Rattus norvegicus: one gene and its partner. The protein of the gene in region 2 interacts with the protein of the main gene of each other region in a biochemical or structural test. Links are inferred from orthologs where the notes say so. Each region holds a gene or a part of one and is shown on either strand. Other genes may lie near its edges.

Region 1 (3,907 bases), on a different chromosome or scaffold from region 2:
GGACAGGTGGTCAGTTTTGTCATCATCTGTGAAGCGGGACTTGATGTTGTAACTGCCCCGAGCAAGCATGCCTTTGGGGGCCTCTTCCATGGGTGTCAGGAACTCATACTCCTCAGCCCTTGGCCCATAGCTCCCGACCATGTAGTCAGTCTTGTCAACTGTGAGACAGGAAAGGCACAGTTACGGGTGATACAAGTCCCTCCAAGGCCCACTGGCTTCCCGCTCTATGGGCCCGCCCACTCACTTTTGACCCCTTTCCTGTATGTGTGCTGGATGTACTTCATGCCTGACACGATCTCTCTGTTCACCTGTTGGGACACAGAACCAGGGTCAGCTGGTTTCCCATTCTTGCTCCTCTGCCCCCCTTTCCCAAAGCCTTCTCCTTACCCGGAAAGAGATTTTTATCCGGTACTCCACACCTTCCTTCAACACAAATGACTGTTTCTTGAAGCTCTCCAGATCACCTGTATTGAGGAGGTGGCTCAGCTGGTTGCTTGAAAGGTTTTCCACCCTGCCCCCACACCCACTTTCCCTAGCTCCTTCCCTGACACAAAGCAGAGCCTTTGCAAGCCCTTAGCTGCACTTCCCCTCTGCTCCACCAGAGGGCATCAGTGCAGAAAATTATTTTTAGGGGTAGTGGCAAGATGCCAGCTGGCCCCACCCAGGGACTCTAATACCCACTCACCTGTCAGGTCCAGTTCCAGAGGGCCTGGGGCAGTGCTGCACACCAAGGTCAAGCGGGTCACAATGACGTTGGGGACATTGGGGTCTGCAGAGTGAGAGTTAAGAGTCAGAGTTCTGATCCTTAAGATTTTTTTTTTCAGCTCACTTCCTGGAAGAGTGGTATGGAAAGAAGGTGGCAACAGGGTCAGGTGGGATCCCTCCTTCAACCCACCTACCTGCAGAGACAGCTACTCGGCCCAGCAGGGCCTCCTTGTACTTTCGAAGGCTTTCATCATCCTTGTCCAGTTCCTGGATCTCCTGGATGCTCTTCTGGGCTGGAGGCTTGTAGTTCACAGAGTGCTCGTCTTCCTCATTCTCTGCAGCTATCTGAGCGAGCTGCTCAGCAGTGGGTTCCTGTTCTGCCATGCTCACCTCTAGTTTGGGACACCTGTGAGTGGGGCATGAGCAGGACTGTGACAGCCTGGAGGCATTCCACCCTAGGCAGACCCTGACACCTGCAGGGAAAGACACTGGGAACTTTTGAGAGAAGACAGGAGGAGGCTGCTGTCACTGCCGAACCCAGAGGTCCATTTGAGAGGGCTACACCCCAAGGAACGAAATGGGACCACAGCCTGTTCCTCAGAGAAGCAAAATATCTTTTCTCCCCAAGAAGAATAAGCCGCCTCCACAACAAACTGAACCGGCAGACACAACGCTAAATCCCTGGGGTCCTGCTGCTGTCCCTAGCTGCCCAGGCTCTCATCTTACTGGGTTGGGTCACGGAGGTAAGTTCTCCTACAGGGGGATGCTCTGTACCTTAGCCACGTGCAGGACAAGGGTCTGTTTGTTCCTTCCTGCCAATGGAATACTGTACTAAGCTAAACTATGTGATGATCGCTTAAATCCCAAGAGCCCAAAGGAGATCCTAAATATGCAGGTCTGTTCCCCCTAGTGAGGGTCTGAGTATGCAACTTGGGAGCAGGTACACCGCTTGCAGATAAATCTCAGGAACCTGTTTCTGGGCCTTGACCCTAAACCGTCAGTGGCGGTGGAGAACCAACCCGGACGGGAAGCGCCTAGATGCCGTTCAGTTCCGCAGATCCCCAAATGTCTTTCAGAAACCCACTGTAATGCCTGCAGGCGACGCGCAGCGGTCAGGGGGACAGCCCGGCCGTTGTCCCTCTGAGAGGTGTCGGGCAAAGAAACACATAAAGCAGCGGTCCGATACCGAGAGGCTGCAGACGACCCCGCCCGACGCCGCCAAGCGTGGCCGCCGGCGAAAGCATCAGGGCGCGGCCCGCACTTCCGTAGGGCCCGCAATCCGAGCGGGGCGGGGCCGCGCGGCGGGAGCTCCGGGCAAGGCCCCGCGCCGGACCCCGCCCGCGAGGCCGAGGGAGGGGGTCTCACTGGCACCGGGCGCGCAGGCCCTGGCAGCGGCGGCCCCTCAGGCAGGACCTATGCTGCCTCCCGGGCCCGCCCCGCCCGCCTCCATGACCGCGCCCCGCCCGCGAGCGCCGCAGTCGCCCGCGTCGCCGCACAAAGCCAACCCACTCCCCTCACGCGCCGCGCCGCACCGTGCCGCGCCACGCGCCCACTCACCGGAGGCTCGACCACCGCTCTCGCGCTCCCTCCCGCACCAAATGACGAACGTCGTCCGCCGCCCGCCGCTCGGACGGTCACTTCCGGGGTCACAAGACTTCCGCTCTCGCGGGCGGGGTCGCCTTGCGCATGCGCCGGCAGGGGGCGCGGGTCGGTGCCGTCGCCATTTTGCTGCGGGCCTCGTGGGCGCGTCTCGCGTGGGCGGGAGACCTCGCGCTTCTGTAGAATGTCTAGTACGAGTGTCTGTGAGACGAGAGTCTTCTCTTCCAGAGCAGGATCGCGCGGTCACTCTGGGGCTTCCAAGGTTCCCTGATGGTTGTGCCTGGCTCTTGTCCCATTGTCCTGGGAATCACCAGAACCACAGTCCTCGGATGCAGCAGTACCTTGTACCTATGCCGCCTGGCGCATTGCTTTGGGAACCATGTGCCCTCCAGAACCCCCGAATATTATGAGTTATTTGGTTTGTTTTTAGTTTCTATTTTGAGAAAGTTATTTTTGTTTTGTTTTGTAACAGTGTGGCTATCTTGGACCTCACTGTAGACCAGGCTAACCTCTAACCGAGATCCGCCTGCCTCTGCCTTCAGAATGCTGGGATTAAAAGTGTTCATCACTGGGGTTGGGGATTTAGCTCAGTGGTAGAGCGCTTGCCTAGGAAGCGCAAGGCCCTGGGTTCGGTCCCCAGCTCCGAAAAAAAAGAACCAAAAAAAAAAAAAAAAAGTGTTCATCACCACCACCAGGCATATTTCACAGCCTTAAGGCCAGGGCCTCTTTAATGGAGGGCCTGACTGGGGGACTTCCTGTGGTGTGCTTTTGCCAGCCACTTCAGTTCCTCCTGAGGATTCAGTTCCTGCTACTCCATGAGGGCACTCGATTGTGGCTTCTCCCGAATGTAACCTCAGACAGAGGGGAGGCAGAAATTTCTGTATTTTAATCCCACAAGAGCCATCACTTCTGGCCTGCTCTGCTGGCCACACCCGCCCTGGTAGTATCTCAGAAACAGCTGTTGGCTCCAATCATGAAGTTTAAAAGATGATATTAGGAATCAAATGGCCCTCACCATCCATCTTTAGTTATGGCCGTTTTTTTTTTTTTTTTTTTTTTTTTTTTCCGGAGCTGGGGACCGAACCCAGGGCCTTGTGCTTTCTAGGCAAGCGCTCTACTACTGAGCTAAATCCCCAACCCCATGGCCGGTTATTTTATACAAGCACGCACGTATCCTCTGGCCACACATCAATCTGAAGCAAACCAAATGTCCATGTGTTTTTATATCTACGGAATATGGATCTGCTATCCCACCTCCAGGTGGCTGCTGTCCTATGGTGGCGAACTATTTTAAAACAAAACGCCCTCACCACTTGATTATTTCCACTCTTACTATATGGTGAATTTGGCTGGCCTTGAACCTACACACAGGTGTGCACAAGTGTGTTAGGCTAGCTTTTCAGGAGGCCCATGGTACTCCAACTGGATGAGCCTGCTTTATTGAGCTCTGTCCCACCCACAATTCCCTGGTTTGACGCTCCAAGCACAAATCTTCCAAAGCAGCGTTTTTATTTTATTTTATTTTTTTAAAGATTCATTTATTCATTTATTATATATAAGTACACTGTAGCTGTCTTTAGATACACCAGAAGAGGGCATCGGA
Region 2 (3,907 bases):
CTGTCTCGGCAAAGGCAAGTCTAAGATTGCCCTGAAGATGACTTTATTTATCCTGTAAGAATTAAGTACACTCGCGTCATATTTGTATTGAAAGTTCGTTTACGAAAGAGATAGTGAGTTAAGCACTGTAAATGGAATGCAGCAGGCTAGTAAGGTTTGAACCGTTGCTGTGTGTACAAGTTACACCAAGTGTTACTCCAAATCCCAGCAGAAAGTACCAAGGGCTGGCAGCACCGAGATAACCTCAGAAGAAGCCAGCCACTGTGTCTCTCTAGTGAGTGGATACAGTGAGATGATGGTCAGACTGTTAACTTTCTCCAAGTCTACAATAATTTAGGGTTGGCTGTTCTTTGGGCCCTACTTCCAACTTTTTCTTCCTAACCTACTCCTTCTAACTGCCAAGGAGTATCACTGCTAACACCACCACCATCAAATAATCCGATCTCATTATGGGGTTATACCCACTGACGTTTTGATGGAACTTAAAAAACACTGCAAAATTAAAACCAGCCAGCCTTTCTAGTTGGTTAAAAATCCGCATAAATTAATGTTCTTTTGTTGCAAACACTGGGCCTATTTCCCTCTCCTAGCCCGGGATCCTGCAGCCTAGCACCGAACTACACCCTGGAGCGGCTGCCCGGTTCCCCCTCCTCCTGGGAACAGCTCCACCTCGGGGGCGCTGGAAACGCCCTCCGTGAGTTCCCTGGCACCAGCGGGAGTTTCAAGTTTCCACGCGCGGGGCGGGGGCTGGCGGCGGGCGCACGGCGAGCTTCGGGCCGCGCGGCTCCGCTTCGTTCACTGCGGGCTTCGGACTCGGGCTGACCCGCGGCGTCCTCGTCCCTCGGGAAGGCTTCGGGAAGGCTTCGCGAAGGCCCCGCAGCGCGTCCCCCGGCTGAGGCCCACTCCACTCCGCCTGTGGCGCCAAGCCCCCGGGGGCGGCCGGGGGACACGCTCTCGCTGCGGCCGCGGTGTTGGCGCTCGAGTCCCGGCCTCGCCCCGCCACTGGCGGGCCGCGGGAGGAGGGGGCGCGGGGCGGCCCCGCCTTCCCCCCCGAGGAGGCGCCGGGCGGCCATATTGCCGAGCTGTCTGCGGCGGCTGCGGCGCGTCTTCTCTCAGGCGGCCCAGGGCTCGCACCGCCGACTCTCCGCTCGCTCGCCGCCAGCCGCGACGCCCCCGCCGAGCCCCGCCTCAGCCAGCCGGCGGCGGGCAAGGAAGGAGCCGCTCATTTTTGGGGTAAGCCCTGCTCGGCGCGCTCCCCGTCCCAGGCCCGGGTGCTGCTCTCCCCACCGAGGCGCTGAGGTGGCGGCCAGAAGTTGCCGGGCTGTGGCGCCGCGACCCGGGGCCTGGCGCGCCTCACAGACGGGCTCGCGCCTGGCCGCCCGAGAGGCGCCGCGATCGTTAACGGCTGAGCCATGCCACTCACCCGGAGTCTCCCGCAGCTCCGCGCCGCCCACCGTCGGCCTGGCCGCCCGGTGCGTCGGGCGGTGCGGGTTCCCGCCGCCTTGGACTGGGCCCCGGGCTCGGCCCGGCGCGCCCCCGGGGGCCGCGTGGAGCGTAGGTCGCATGCTCTCTCGCAACCCGGGGACGGGGGGCGGCAAGGCTAGAACTTCTCCCCCGGCCTCCTGTTTGAAAGTCGGGGTGTTGGATTACTAGAGAGCGTGCGGACACCCTAGCAGCGGAAAGGCCGTCGCGTTGCCCGGTCCCACCGTTCGAGCCCGCGAGGCCAGGCCCGAGCTCCCAGCCGTCTTTACCTGGGGCTGCAGTCGGCTGCCCGTGTCCTCCCGGTCCCCCGACTTGCCCGCTCCTCGGAGTCGCTGGCGCAGTGTTAGCAGACCCCCACCGGGAAACTAAGCATTTCTACCTTTCGGGGCTCCCAAACTCCCATCTCCCAGCTAAGTTAGAAAGGGAGCAGTACGTTATTTCAGTTGAAATAGCACGTCTGCACCTACACAGATGTTTCTGTAAACGTTGCCAGGATTCTGGGTGGTTTTGCCCCCCTCCCCAACCCCCCAGGAGTGGTTTTTCATTGGAAGTGTGTTTAGAGGTCAAGTTCATAATTTTTTTTTTAAAGTTCAGTTCAGATTTGTAAAAAGAGGAGTGAGAGAGATGCCTTGTTGGCTGTGTGGAGGCACCAAGATTTGCATGATGTAAATGTAAAAGCCCAAGATAACAAGGGTTCATGTGATGAAAGAGTACTTGGACACTGCAATCTATTGTTGACCAAGCATCTTTTTTTTTTTTTTATAGAATACTTATAAAACTGTGACGGAGCTCAGAATAAACAATTGCCCTGTTCATTTTGCTGCATAAATAATGGCTTAATCTGCTTGGCAAAACAGCCCCATCAGATCTGAAAAGAGAGCCTAATGTTTAGGACTGCGTTGTTGGTTTGTTTGTATCTTTAGAGTTTTGTCACTTGCACCAGGGTGTACCTTATCTTTCATAATAATTTCTTCAAATATGACAAAATGCAGACTCCTTTTCAAATTGTCAGTATGCTGTGAAAAGAACCACACTGGCTTTCTTTGCATAAATCCCTTTGAAAACTGTATTTTGGAACATAACTCCCGTTGTCACTAGGAAGTCTTTAGCTTGTCTACAGGAGAAGGAGTTTGATTGTGACACTTAGATGTGAAGCCCTTGCCTCTGTGGGTCCTACATACTGGTTTGCTCAAATGTAGCTTCATACAAGGAGAGAATGTAGGAGGAGCTCAGATGTTTGTAGGATAGATTTAATAGATTTTGCTGTGCGGAAAAACACATTAAATCTTAATTTTGTGGGAATTGTCGTTACCTGGGTGGAGATTACACAGCTTCATTTTTGTGCAGTGGTTAGGGACAACAGGTTTGCTTTCTGCCTCTCTTAGTAGCAGGCAGTAGTTGGGGTTTGGGGGTTGGGGGATGGGAGAAAAGTTCACCAACTGAGTTTTGTTCCTTGCTTCACCATTCCCAAGAGAAGAATTAATTATTAGCTAGTTTTTAATCTCTGGTGAGTGGTTGAAAGACTTAAAGATTTTTATTTTCAGTTTTTCAATCTCTTAATATAAAATTATGTACAGTCTGATATAGTAGGTTTTGAAATGTTGAGTGATGGTGAGAGTCCAGAATTTTCATTCATTTAAAACAACACATTTTAAGTTGAGCCATTTAAAAACGGGGTGGCAAATGTTAACTTTCTTTCCCCAAGGACCAGGGCTTTTAAAATCTTGTCCCATTGAGGTAGGGAAGGCTGAGCTGTGCAGAAGAGCATATCTGTGGGGCATAGGCAATAGTTTCCTGTTATTGGTACAGCCTGGGAGATTAAATCACTCTCTGGCTTGGGCCTCTCTCATTGCTGCAGTCTGGGAAGTAAGGAAATCACTCCTGGATGACTTGCACTGATGGGTACTACTTTACCCTGTTGATACCCTGAATAGGGAGCTGGATTAAGCTGCTGCCCCATAAGGTTATTTTAAGTTTCTAGACCATAGGTGTCACTAGAGGGTGTTCTGGGAAAGCCCTGACTTCAGACTCCAATAGGAAGCTCATCCAGTCTGTCCTCAGTTTTTCTGTTCTCTCTCATGTGTTTTACAGCTATCCAATCTGCCCTATATAATATACAAGTACTATATGCTTCTTAGTACTTATGGACGTATATTTTAAATCATTAAAAACACTATAAAAGGGCTGGAGAGATGGCTTAGAGGTTAAGAGCGCCGACTGCTCTTCCAGAGGTTCTGAGTTCAATTCCTAGCAACCACATGGTGGCTCACAACCATCTCTAATGGGATGCCCTCTTCTGGTGTGTCTGAAGACAGCTATAGTGTGTATGAATATGCATTAAATAAATAAATTTTAAAAACACTATAAAAATAATATACTCCATGGTAAAGTTATAACACCCAGAAAGATGTAAAGCCATAGAATA

What was found.
Region 1: the proteins of Rdx (region 2) and Arhgdia form a complex in vitro, tested with the Homo sapiens proteins (2 studies listed by BioGRID and IntAct). The link is inferred for Rattus norvegicus from reciprocal best matches to the Homo sapiens genes RDX and ARHGDIA.

What each region holds. Positions count from the first base shown.
Region 1 is NC_086028.1:106,354,032-106,357,938, forward strand, and holds the start of Arhgdia (rho GDP-dissociation inhibitor 1), read right to left. Parts: upstream 2,317-3,907; 5' UTR 2,263-2,316; intron 2,177-2,262; exon of another isoform or gene 1,725-2,176; intron 1,112-1,724; 5' UTR 1,090-1,111; coding exon 900-1,089; intron 770-899; coding exon 686-769; intron 465-685; coding exon 388-464; intron 309-387; coding exon 245-308; intron 159-244; coding exon 1-158. UniProt on the Homo sapiens protein: Controls Rho proteins homeostasis. Regulates the GDP/GTP exchange reaction of the Rho proteins by inhibiting the dissociation of GDP from them, and the subsequent binding of GTP to them.
Region 2 is NC_086026.1:61,274,708-61,278,614, forward strand, and holds the start of Rdx (radixin), read left to right. Parts: upstream 1-1,084; 5' UTR 1,085-1,233; intron 1,234-1,415; exon of another isoform or gene 1,416-1,554; intron 1,555-3,907. UniProt on the Homo sapiens protein: Probably plays a crucial role in the binding of the barbed end of actin filaments to the plasma membrane.